Drosophila melanogaster: one gene and its partners. The protein of the gene in region 2 interacts with the protein of the main gene of each other region in a pairwise test. Each region holds a gene or a part of one and is shown on either strand. Other genes may lie near its edges. The genes, in order: CG4707, Prosalpha7 and CG33672.

Evidence for each region.
Region 1: the proteins of Prosalpha7 (region 2) and CG4707 interact in a two-hybrid assay, tested with the Drosophila melanogaster proteins (one large-scale study listed by BioGRID).
Region 3: the proteins of Prosalpha7 (region 2) and CG33672 interact in a two-hybrid assay, tested with the Drosophila melanogaster proteins (one large-scale study listed by BioGRID).

What each region holds. Positions count from the first base shown.
Region 1 is NT_033778.4:24,604,089-24,608,611, reverse strand, and holds CG4707 (uncharacterized protein), read left to right. Parts: upstream 1-1,588; 5' UTR 1,589-1,710; coding exon 1,711-1,827; intron 1,828-1,890; coding exon 1,891-3,164; intron 3,165-3,227; coding exon 3,228-3,618; intron 3,619-3,673; coding exon 3,674-3,913; 3' UTR 3,914-4,017; downstream 4,018-4,523. Other genes in the region: CG42361 (uncharacterized protein), read right to left, coding at 80-293, 351-469, 528-818; CG42360 (uncharacterized protein), read right to left, coding at 1,091-1,246; Samtor (S-adenosylmethionine sensor upstream of TORC1), read right to left, coding at 4,054-4,523.
Region 2 is NT_033778.4:9,846,136-9,849,517, forward strand, and holds Prosalpha7 (proteasome alpha7 subunit), read right to left. Parts: upstream 1,702-3,382; 5' UTR 1,583-1,701; coding exon 1,562-1,582; intron 1,504-1,561; coding exon 938-1,503; intron 771-937; coding exon 596-770; 3' UTR 501-595; downstream 1-500. Other genes in the region: Orc6 (origin recognition complex subunit 6), read right to left, coding at 1-138, 195-259; CG1671 (uncharacterized protein), read left to right, coding at 1,990-2,015, 2,075-3,382. UniProt on the Drosophila melanogaster protein: The proteasome is a multicatalytic proteinase complex which is characterized by its ability to cleave peptides with Arg, Phe, Tyr, Leu, and Glu adjacent to the leaving group at neutral or slightly basic pH.
Region 3 is NT_033778.4:12,633,585-12,637,768, forward strand, and holds CG33672 (uncharacterized protein), read right to left. Parts: upstream 2,558-4,184; 5' UTR 2,501-2,557; coding exon 2,240-2,500; 3' UTR 1,843-2,239; coding exon of another isoform or gene 670-1,842; 3' UTR 582-669; downstream 1-581. Other genes in the region: spt4, read left to right, coding at 93-161, 223-385, 452-570; Mvk (mevalonate kinase), read right to left, coding at 670-1,842; Iswi (imitation SWI), read left to right, coding at 3,359-3,406, 3,470-3,687, 3,755-4,009, 4,071-4,184.

The DNA of each region.
Region 1 (4,523 bases), about 15 Mb from region 2:
GGTAAAACGGCCAGTAAGTACACAACTCAACAGCAGTAAACAAAGCAGCCCCGTTACATCCTGGTCCTCCAACTCTGATTTACTGCTTCTTCAGCTCGCTGATCTCGTTGCGTATGTTGGCGCGGGCTAGCTCTTCGTACTTGTCGTGGTAGTCTCCAGTGGCGTAGATGGAGGGAATCATCAGCAGGGTCTCCAGCACCTTGATGCGCATGGCCTTGTAGGTGGCATCGTCGAGATTGGCGTACTCCGAGCGAAGGAGAGTTGTATAGTGCTTGTACTCCTCCGGCGAAGCACTTTAGTAGTGTAAATGGGTTTTGAAATACACGGACAATGATTGCACAAATACTCACGCTAGGACCACCAGGTCTACGTCCTGCAGCAAGTTGGCCTCGTCGTCATGGCACCAGGTCAACTGGTTCTCCGGGGTCTTGCGCCCCAGCAAATTACATACCAGGCTTTTTGCATGGTCCTGTTTAAGGTAGAGCACGCCGAATATAGAGGTTTAGTTACACCGCACGCCTACTCACATCCTCGATGACGGCATCATTGCAAAACTCCTCAAAGACCTCGCAGTTCTTCTCCGCACAGCTGCGGTTACCATCGAAGTGGTAGTACTGGAAGAAGGCGGCCAGCACAATGTTGGGATTGGCCACGCCCGCCAAGTGCGGCTCCTTGCGCCGCATCATCTCCTCCCAATTGTGGTAGGCGCGAGCGGGATCCTCGGAGCTCAGGTGCTGCTGAATGCGGGCGAACCACTCGTTGGCCACCTGCTCGGGCACATCGTGGTGCTCGCACACCTTCTTCCAGATCTTCTCCATACTTGGTGGGTTGTAGGTGATACTTTGGCCTCTTGGATTCGGACTTGCTGATTTCGGCAGCAGTGATTCAGTTGGCTGGAGCTGGTCTTTCTGGAACTTTTCACTATTCGATGGGAATGTGGGGTGCAGGGCGCTGGCGATTGCGCACTGCCCAAAGAAGCCCCTACCACCACTTGGTTACCACTCGCGGGAAAACAGAAACTGCGCGTGCCGCCGACGCGGGCTTGATATTGTCGCAAAAATGGATTTCATTTATAAAACAGGCAACTTACCACCGTGTCCTTAGGATAAGCGTCCCTTTGGGGATCCTCGGCCGCCAGCTGCAACAAGATATTTGAGGCCATTGCAGAGGCCGATCCGCGCTTGTGCCAAGGTTGCTTCTTCAGACTGGTCCCCGTGGGATCCTTGTTTTTATTGGTTTCGCTCATTCGGGGCAATCGCTTCTGAATAATGCATTAAATGGTTAAAACTCTGATCTTTATCGACTCAACAAAGCTATGGGAAACAGCTGATACCGCAATGTGCGTTATGTTTTGGTATTTTTTTCAAGCACGAGGCCCTTTCCACTGTGCGAGGGGGCAATCTAAAAGGCGTTAGGGTGTAACTACATTGTACAGTTAATATAAATTTCTTGCATTAATATATTAAATTATATAATTCGCCCAAAATTGAAATTGCTTTAATACAATACAAAGATCAGCACATCAAATTGTTTTTCAGTTTCACTAATGATTATTCTGCTTGTCTCGATACTATCGGCTCACCAGCTCTTCATGCACGCCCCTGTCAACCCTGCTTTGCTTTGGAAAACAAATTTTTGCAAAATCGTAAACAAAAACTTTGTGTGGAAATGAAGCAGGATTAGGACTCAGCCAGTGCATCCGGTTTCGTCATGACTGTCTGTGTGCTCTGCCTGGACAGTAGCAATGCTGGCTACGGCCTACAATCCGAGGAAGGCGTCCGTCTGAACATTAGGGCGACCATCCACAAGCACTTCGCGTTCTCCGAGGTAAGCTCTGCGCCATAATCGCAAGTTTTGGATAAACCAAACCGAACTCTTCGCCATCCACAGGTTCTTACGGCTGGCGGTGATGCTGAGGTCTGTCGGGAGTGCTGGAACTGCGTTAGCAGCTTCGAGGAGTTTCACCAGCGCGTCTCCTGCCTGCACCGGCAGCGGAGCAGCGATTCCAAAAGCGAACCCATCGAATTTTGCGGTCAGACAGAGGAGGCCATCATTAATCCGCTATATTCTGTGGAGTTGGACGCGTTGGCGGAGGCCTTTTTTGCGCCCAGTGAGGTCAAGGTGGAGGTGAACGAACTAGAACCCCTGCCCAAGGTGGAACTCTTGGAAGACCCAGTTAAAACGGAAATCAGAACAGCTCCGAAACGGTTGGGTGTCCCAAACGAAGGCTCACCACACTCGAAGCGGCGCATTAAAAACGAGCTGCCAGTGGATAGTGACTCGGATGCACCTCTGGCCGATTTTTTAAACTCGGATTCAAAGAGAAGTTCAGTTGGACCCGCAAAGAACAGCGAAGCGAACAAGGGACGCCAGCTACGAAGGAGCGCAAGAAGAGGACGGCCACCCAAAGCTAAGCCGGAATCGGCTCCTTCCCCAAAGAAGGAACTGGACTCCGAAGATGGCGAAGAAAATGCCAGGGATAACAATGACATGGAGTTCGTGGCTCCCGAGGCTGTCTTGGGCACTGACGACAGCTCCAGTTCCTCCAGTGAGAGCAGTGGAGAGGATTCCGACCACAGCCTGCCGGACATAGAGCCTGAGGAACGTTACGCTGAGATTCCCAAGCGGGTTGTGGTGAAACCTAAGAAGTACCGAAAAAGGGAAAAGCCACTGGTTCCACCCGTTCGTCTGAGTCGGGAGGAGATTGAACGGAGGAAGCTCCAGCAAGACGAGTACGATGAGATTATCCTGCAGTTCTTCAAAAAGTTTCCGTGCTCTCTGTGCAATCTGCTGGTGCAGAACTTTGCGGACATGCGACGCCATCAACGCGTTTCCCACAACATCGAATCTGGCTACATCGAATGCTGCGGGAGAAAGTTCCACCTGCGCAAGGCTTTGGCCGAGCACGTCTTGGTCCACAAGAACCCAGATCACTTTATGTGCTCTCAGTGCGGGCGGGTATTCCAGGACTCCCGCGCCCTGGAGGTCCACGAGCAGACACACACAAACCCGGAGGTCAAGGCGGAGCCGAAGGAGAAGCGGATCTACCAGTGCGAGAAGTGCCCCAAGAGCTTCACAACCAAGGCGGCCATGGAGTATCATGACGTTTCCAAGCATGTCCCGAAATCCGAGTTCAAATACTCTTGTCCGGAGTGCAACAAGAAGTAATTGTCCATCAGGTATGAGGCATATGAGCAACCCCCCAAGTAATCCCTTAATGCTTTCAGGATTCCTACGGAACGCAAACTGAAAGAGCACTTGCGTTACATGCACGACCCGGAAGCGGCCATCATCTGCGATAAGTGTGGCAAGACGCTACGTTCACAAACGAATCTCAAAAAGCATCACGAGCTTGAACATTCCGAGAAACCGCGTCCAAAACCCGATCCCGTGCAGTGCGAGATCTGCGGCACCTGGCTGCGCCACTTGTCCGGACTAAAGCAGCACATGAAAACGGTACACGAGCCGCCGGGCGACGAGCACCGCTGTCATATCTGCAACAAGACATCCACCAATTCCCGAGCCCTGAAGCGCCACATCTACCACAACCACCTCTGTGAGCGAAAGTTCAAGTGCGGGATGTGCGAAAAGGCATTTAAGCGTCCACAGGATCTGAGGGTAAGTGTGGGGCTCACTTACAGAGAAATCTAAGTATTCGACACCTAATTTACAGGAGCACACATCAACGCACACCGGAGAGGTGCTGTACACCTGTCCTAACTGCCCCATGACGTTCTTTTCCAACGCCAACATGTACAAGCACCGTCAGCGGCTCCACCGAGCCGAGTGGGAGGCGGATCGCAAGAAACCGCTCCCGCCGAACATCATGAAGATTTCGCAGGGCGCCACCACAGCGATGAAGAAGCGCCAGACCAGCGGCGCGCTGTTCCCACAGTCGGAACAGAAGCAATAGCATTTGTCCATTTACGACATCCATAGATAGTAGATAAATCGTCAACCATTATTATTAACTCGCACTTAACACAGATAAGTTAAGCCATAAATAAGTAGACGTGGACATATTTACATCGATTTATGGGGGCTGAATCTTATCTAGCTATCGTCCTGCGGTATCCGAATTTCCTCGCACATCCCCTCCTCCCGGTGAATGCTCGCCCAGTGCTGTGAGAGCTCCCGGCTGATGGCCTTGCGGAACACCATGCACGATATGTGCGGCAACTTCTCGAAGCGTACCCGTAGCAGTCCAATCCTGGCCAGGGAGTAGCGCCAGTTTTTCATGAGGTGGGCGTTTTTGCCAACATGTTGGGAGTCCGGTGTGATGAGCACAAGGATGCCCTCGGGCAGCAGCAGGTCGTAGGCCTGAAGGCAGCACTGTAGTCTCTGCTCGGCGCTGGGCATGTATTCCAGTAGCAAACTGAAAATGACGCACTCGTAGTGGCTTGCTGGTAGCCTTCTTACGCTGCCCTCCTCCAGCTCAGGTTCTCGTATTCCGGGTACCACCTCCACTTTGAGGAAATCCGCCTGCAGCACATCTTCGGTGGCGGGACACAAGTCCAGGGCGG
Region 2 (3,382 bases):
GCCTGCTCCTTGTCGAAAGCGATCCCAATCATGCAGGAAGCGAGATCCGCACACAGCACTATCTTTCCGTACTCGTTGATCTGCAGAGGGACATTCGTGGAGCGCAGTTCCAGGAGGCGTACTAGTTCGGTGGTTTTCCTGAAAGGATTCGATCTTACTGGGTAAACCTTTAAAACTATTTATTTATCGCTTACTCTAGCACGTTTGGCTCCTCCCTTAGGCCCATTTTCGTAATTAACTGTTCTATTAAGGTAGTCATTGTAGTTATTAACAATAGACTGAAATTCCAGTCGTGCGTCGTTAAAACCAAAATAAAGTACAACAAATGGCGCGAAATGCATCAGCTGTGAGCGATAAGGTTTTTCTTTGTAGCAATCGAGGTTTAATAGCTGCAGGCACATTCAAAAGGAACCAGATCCGATAACCAGCGAGCCAATATATTTATATCGAACGATAACTATTAAAGAATGAGAGTATAAAAATATAAAAACCTTAAATTTCACCCGATTTTGTTTATTCATTTTGCGCTTTAGGGAAATATAAAATTAACATTATGTATGAGGCCCAGAATTAGATTCACTGGCACACAAACGAACTAGTGCGTCTCATTGTCGCTGTCTTCGTCCTTGTTGGCCGCATCGCCGGCTTTCCTCGCCTTCTCCGTCAGTTCTGAGGGATTTATGAGATGTAGGCCACCGGTTACCCTGCCCACCAAACCCATTTCGAAGCGGAAGTCCTTGTCCTTCAACTCGTCATGGACTTTGTAGATGCTAAGACATAGGATAGATATGTTAATTATGAATAAAAACCTAGATTCTAAGTGCAATAGATGTCCCAAAAATGCTTCCTATTGTCAGAGCAAGTAAGTTTCCACTCGGAACTAGGATAAAGCCCGCCCGATTTTTGAAACAGTCCCTTTTTTTTGCTGTAAACGTACATTTCACCAGCGCTCTCCACCAATTCGTCGGTCCTCATATCCATCTTGAGCTTCTCCATCTCAGTCTTGGCCAGCTGCTTGGCCTTGCCGCTGGCGCAGGCGAAGTAACCGAAGGAGGAGCCGGACGGCTCGATCTTGTAGAGCTGTGGCCCCTCTACTTCGTCCCAGGAGGCGAGAATGATGGAAAGTCCGAAGGGGCGGACGGCACTGTACAGAGTGTAGGCGTGAACGTAGCCGGCGACTCGGTGGCACAGGTGTTTAAGCGGGATAGCCTGCTCAAATTGCTGTCTGTAGTTGGCTGCCTCCTGACGCGCAATGTCAGCCACAAAGTTTCCATCGGCCACCAAGCCGGCCACCGCCATTCCGATGTTCTTTTCGATGGTGAAGATGCGTCCGCCGGCGTCTGGTTCGTACAGTTTACTGGTGATGATCTTCTCCACGGCCAGCACCACGGCGTCCTTGCCCCGAATCCCGATTACGGTGCCGCTCTTCTCCACCGCCTTTGAGGCGTAGTCGATCTGGAAAACGCGGCCATCAGGCGAAAACTGCGAGGCCGACAAGTCGTACTGGAAGCGAGAGGGTGACGTTAGGGATCTGCAGATATGTAGTTCGCTGACCACTTACTCCAGTGCCAATAGTACTCATAGCGAAGACTTTGTGAAAATTTAAACAATTCAAACGCAAAAATTAGTTTAATTCCTTGGGTCGAATGCGACGATGATTTGACGGCTTTTACTTGGCTAGTGGTGGACAAAACAAAGGGGCCTATCGGTCAAGGAGGTTCGATAGTTTCGGAACGACTATCGTCAATAAAAACCAATCGTATACCAATCGCGATTTTTTCAGATAAAATTCGAATGATTAAAAATAAATCACCAATTCATGGTACTTTATTTATTTAGCACAGTTGAAGTTAATATCATTCTTTTCTTTTCTACTTATACATTTCGAATATCCCCTTACATGCTCTGTAAAGTAACATTTCGAACTAGTTCCGTTCATGTTCTGATCCGCGGCGCACGCGGTTTTTGTATTTATAAACAACGAAAATCATGCTGGCGGGTATCAGCGAGAAAAGGTAACATAAACTTAATAATTACCTGATGATTGCAAGACTACAACAATTTTAAAATCCAGCTATGCGGCGGAGGCCCGCTACACGAACTTCTACGCCGGCGGCGACATCGCCTGGAGCCCGAATGGCCATCATCTTTACTGCCTCAATGGCTCAGCTGTAAACCAGGTGGATGTGCAGACCTCCCAAATCCTAAATAGCTACGGCTTGTCTTCCCCGTCGGCGGATAACAAGAGGCCGGCGGAGCTGGACAATATCGATGTGGAGGAGGATACGATTACTTGCTTCGGGCTGTCACAGGAGCATCTGGTTACTGCCCATCGAAGTGGCCTGCTTAGGCTGTGGCAGCTGGACACTGGGAAGCTGGTGAAGCTGTGGAAGGCGCAGCACAAGGGACCAGTCATCCGAGTTGAGTTTAGTCCCTGCGGCAGGCTTATCTGCACCAGCGGCGGTGCAGATGCCACACTGAGGCTGTGGGACTACTCGAACAACAGCTGTCTGGGTGCCCTCAAGGATTTCCCTGGTCCCGCTTGGCTCCTCGTCTTTCATCCCAATGTGCTGCGCAAAGAGATCTACGCCGGAGGTTCGGATAACACTGTCTATGCCTGGAACTACGAGACGAAGACACTTGTGCACAAGATGCGAGGTCACCTGTCGCAAGTCACCGGCTTGAGCTTTAAGAGCAACGCGTCCGACTGCAATGAAATCGTGACTGTAAGCCGGGACAAGGTTATGATCGTGTGGCAATTGCAGGAGCAGTTGGAAAGCAAGCAGTTGAAGGTTCTTCCCTTGTACGATGAGCTTGAGGGAGTCGTGTACGCAGACGAGGGACAACTGATAATCGTGGCGAGCGGATCGGGCAAGCTGCAACAGGTCGACCCTAAATCTTGGAAGATCAGGGATATTCTTTCTCAATCTGATTTCCAAATTAGTAGACTGCTGCACTGCAGCGAGCTAAAACAGCTGGCCCTGGTCACTACAGAGCAGAATATTTTGGTCTACGACGTTGAAACCCTGGAACCCATTAAACACTTGGTGGGTTACAACGACGAGATCCTAGACATGTGCTTTATGGGCGAACACGATCGCTACCTGGCCGTTGCCACCAACAGCAAGCACTTCAAGCTGTACGACACGGAACACGACATGAATTGCAAGCTGATCGTGGGTCACTCGGATACGGTAATGTCCCTTGCTGCATCCCAAAATCTGCTGATTTCGGTGGGAAAGGACTGCAGCGTTCGGCTTTGGAGGCTTCAGCACGACAAAGATTGCTCGCTTGAGGCTCTGACTCAACAGGCCAACTGCCACACGTCCACTATCGGTTGCGTGGCCATGACGCACAACGGAGCTACTGGCTTTGCATCCGT
Region 3 (4,184 bases), 2.8 Mb from region 2:
AATTTTAGAGTACGGTCACTCTGTCAGTGTCGTGGCTTGGTTTTGCACGGATTTTGTATTTTTAGTTTTAAACCCATAATTGATAAGTAAATATGGCCTTTGACGCGATACCCAAGGATCTGCGAGGACTTCGCGCCTGCCTCGTTTGCTCCCTAGTGAAGGTGGGTTATATTTTGCCCAGACTCGACACACATTTTCATTGAAATCATTTATCGCCCGCAGAGTTTTGATCAATTTGAGACTGATGGCTGTGAAAACTGCGAGGAGTTCCTGCGAATGAAAAACAACAAGGACAATGTCTATGATCACACTAGCAACAACTTTGACGGAATTATTGCCCTAACTACGCCCACCGACTCCTGGGTGGCCAAGTGGCAAAGATTGTGTAAGGCCTGAATGACTTCCGTTCCAAAAGGGTATTACTGATATATTTGAAATCATTTTCCTTTAGCCCGCTTTACTCGTGGTATCTATGCCATTTCTGTATCCGGAACACTGCCGCAGTCTACCTTACGTGACATGAAGAATCGTGGAATTGTCTACAAATCTCGGGACAGAAGTCAACGATAAACAAACAGATTGCCGTACAAAATACATGTATAAATCTTTATTCTTTAATTTATAACAAAACCACGAATACATACAATAGCAATACAAAACGAAACCGCATCAGTCATCCAGCGAACTAACGCGCAATCCCTCGCCGCCGGCAGTCGTAACATGAACACCAAAACCCGCCGATTCGAGCTCCTCTTTAAGCTTCCAGTAGACCTCGTTGCACTCGTAGTTCTCTGGAAGCAGAACGATGACATAGCCACCTGCGCCGGCGCCCGTCAGCTTTGAAAAGAAGCCACGCTTAAAAGCGATGGTGAAGATTTGCTCCAGTTTCGGGTGCGACACTCCGATAGCCTTCAACAGATCATTGTTGATCTGGAACAGGCGTTCAAGTTGCTCGAATTTCGAGCTATCGTCTTGGGCGTTGCCAAAGCTTTCGTAGAGTGGAACGGCGGCGGCAACAAGCTCCTCGCAAGCCTGCCAAATGGCCTCGATGAGCTGCGGAAAGGCATCTCCCAGATGACGAACCTTGGCCACAATGTCGGCGGTGCTGCGACTCACACGACTGTCCACCAGCAGGATGTTTAGTGGTTTCTGGATCTTCAGCGACTGGAAGCCCTGGCCCTTGACATACCGCAACATTCCGCCGTAGGTGCATACAGTGTTGTCCAGACCCGAGGGCGTGCCATGATTAACACGCTCCGATTCATAAGCCCAGGACGAGATCAACGCCTGGTTTGCCTCCGACAAGTAGCTGTCTCTATCAAAGTGTCCGGCCAAAATGAGAAATGTCGTGGCCAAAGCTGCTCCGAAAGAGGCGGAACTGCCCAAACCCGCACCCACGGTTAGCTGGCTGTCTACCTGCACCTGGAAACCGGTTTGCAGCGTCAGTTTCTTGTCGCCGGGTGCGGAGAGTACAGCGCCGGCCAGCAAATAGTATATGGAGATGAATGCCCGCTGGGTGTGCTGCTTCGGTGCATTGCCTCCGGATCGTTCAAGTTGTTTGGACACCTCTGCGCGGACGGCTTCCAACAGATTGGCCGTGCTATCTGATGGGTATTTACTCCTAAATTCAGCCAAAAATCCATTGAACTCCGGCAACTGGATCTCCAGTGTGCAGTTAAGGGCCTCCAGTTGAAAACTTGCCACCTGGCTGTCCTCCAGCTGCCGAAATCTCAGAGTAGTGCCCAAACCCACTACGGCGGCGAGGGCGGGACGATGATAGACCACGGCGTGTTCGCCATGGAGTATGACCTTGCCCGGAGAATGGACCTGGAACTTGAGCATTGTTCTTGATGATCTCCGTGTATTGTGTGTTCTGTATTCCGTTTGGCTATGGCTTTATCGGTTTATCAGCTGTTTCGAATTGTAATGCTAATGCCTTTCGAGTGGACGACCTGCGACAAGTAGTTAAACTTTTATGGCTGTATTTCTTTATGTAACTTATGCATTTAGTGGATCATTTGCGTTGTTTATTCGGTAACTCCTATTTCTGGCTGCCGATTCCTGTGCTTTCCCTTTCACTTTCTTTGTGCGACTGGCGTTTTTCGGCTTGTTCGTCTCTTCGATCGGAAAGCGCAACCATCAGCAAAACGAACAACAGGTTTTTGCGGCTAGTGTTTGCTGTTGTTGTATCGCTCGTGTATATGTATGTGTGTTGTTGGTTTTTTTTTATTCGGTACTACTATTGGGCTTTCACTTTCTCCCACTCTTCGGGTGTGTAGGATTTCTGGGAGAATGCATGGATTTCTTTCAGTTCTTCGGCAAGCGTTGAGTTAACTAATCTATGCTTCTGGAGAAGGGTCTTGCCGCTGAAGGCTGGCGATACGATTACGGCGCTGAACTTGCCGCCACAGCCGTCTGATTCGTCCGTAACACTCACGTACTCCGTCTGCAGTTCCCGTTTGAGCTTCTCCTCGAGGTACTTTGAGTCGTATTTACTCATTTTGGATGGTTTTTTTTTCAAACGAAACGAGGTGATGGAGTGGTTGTGTGACCGTATTGGGCTTCAGGCAAAAACAGGTTTTCCATAAGCCGGGTGGTAGTTTTTCTATCTGCGCTGACCTTGGCCACACCTAGCACCATTTTAAATGTTCTTTTTCGGGGGGTTTCTTGCGATATATCTATTAAATACTTTAATATGGGGGTTGTCTAAGTAATTTAACAGATTTTGTCTTTGTTCATATAGTTTGGGGCAGCCATTCAAGTCTAAAACGATGTAGTACATATTGTCATATTTAGATTCAGTTTCCACCACAGGGCTTATTTCTAAAATATTATGAGACCCCATTAGACTTTTCGATTCCTGCTATATTCCATCATCTCAAACTTAAACATTAGGCAATAATTTTTAAACAAACGCAAACAATTTAAAAAGATAACCTATTTGATTAATCAGAATAACGGCTTTGTCTAAAACTAATAATAACGGCACACGGCCAGTGCTGCCATTCATAGTAATCCATCAAAACTATCGATAGTTCGTATTCTCGATTTGTTTGCCGCCACCGTCGCTGCCGCAGCCAACTTCGCGCATTCATCGCATAATCTAGCGATAGCACGCGCAGATTTCCCACCATTCATTAAAAAAAATCGCATGTAATTATTTACAATTTGTTTAAGCGAAACAAACATTGTTTTGTGTAAATTGCCTTTTATTTATATACTGAAAGTATAACTAACAGGTTGCACACTCGATTTTCAGTTCACATTAAACGACACCAGTGTGCAGCACGCTTGATTGGCGAGGGGAAATTTGTGGAAAAATTAAGTTCATTTAGAGACAGACGCCGGCATTGCAAATATGTCCAAAACAGATACAGCTGCCGTGGAGGCAACCGAAGAGAACTCGGTAAGTTAATATACAGCAGGCTTTGTCTAAGGACTTCTATACATATATTCTGAACTCTGCCAGAACGAGACGACTTCAGATGCGGCCACCAGTTCATCCGGTGAAAAGGAGGCTGAGTTCGACAACAAAATCGAGGCTGATCGCAGTAGGCGCTTTGATTTCCTGCTAAAGCAGACGGAGATATTCACCCACTTCATGACTAACAGCGCTAAGAGTCCCACGAAGCCTAAGGGTAGACCCAAGAAGATCAAAGACAAGGACAAGGAAAAGGATGTGGCCGAGTGAGTTAAACTCCCCCTATAAAAAAGCCAACTACTTTATCTATTGGTGTACTTTTGTATTAAACAGTCATCGTCATCGCAAGACAGAGCAGGAGGAGGATGAGGAGTTGCTGGCGGAAGACTCGGCCACCAAGGAGATCTTTCGCTTCGATGCCTCACCCGCCTACATCAAAAGTGGAGAGATGCGTGACTACCAGATTCGCGGTCTTAACTGGATGATTTCGCTTTACGAAAATGGTATCAATGGAATTCTGGCCGATGAAATGGGTCTAGGAAAGACCCTGCAGACCATATCTCTGCTGGGTTACCTCAAGCATTTCAAGTGAGTTTTCATAAACATCTATTGTTTTAAAGAAATCTCTAAATACCATATTTGCGTGCAGAAATCAAGCTGGACCACACATCGTCATCGTGCCAAAGTCAACGCTTCAGAATTGGGTAAATGAGTTTAAAAAGTGGTGTCCTTCCCTCAGAGCCGTCTGCCTTATTGGTGACCA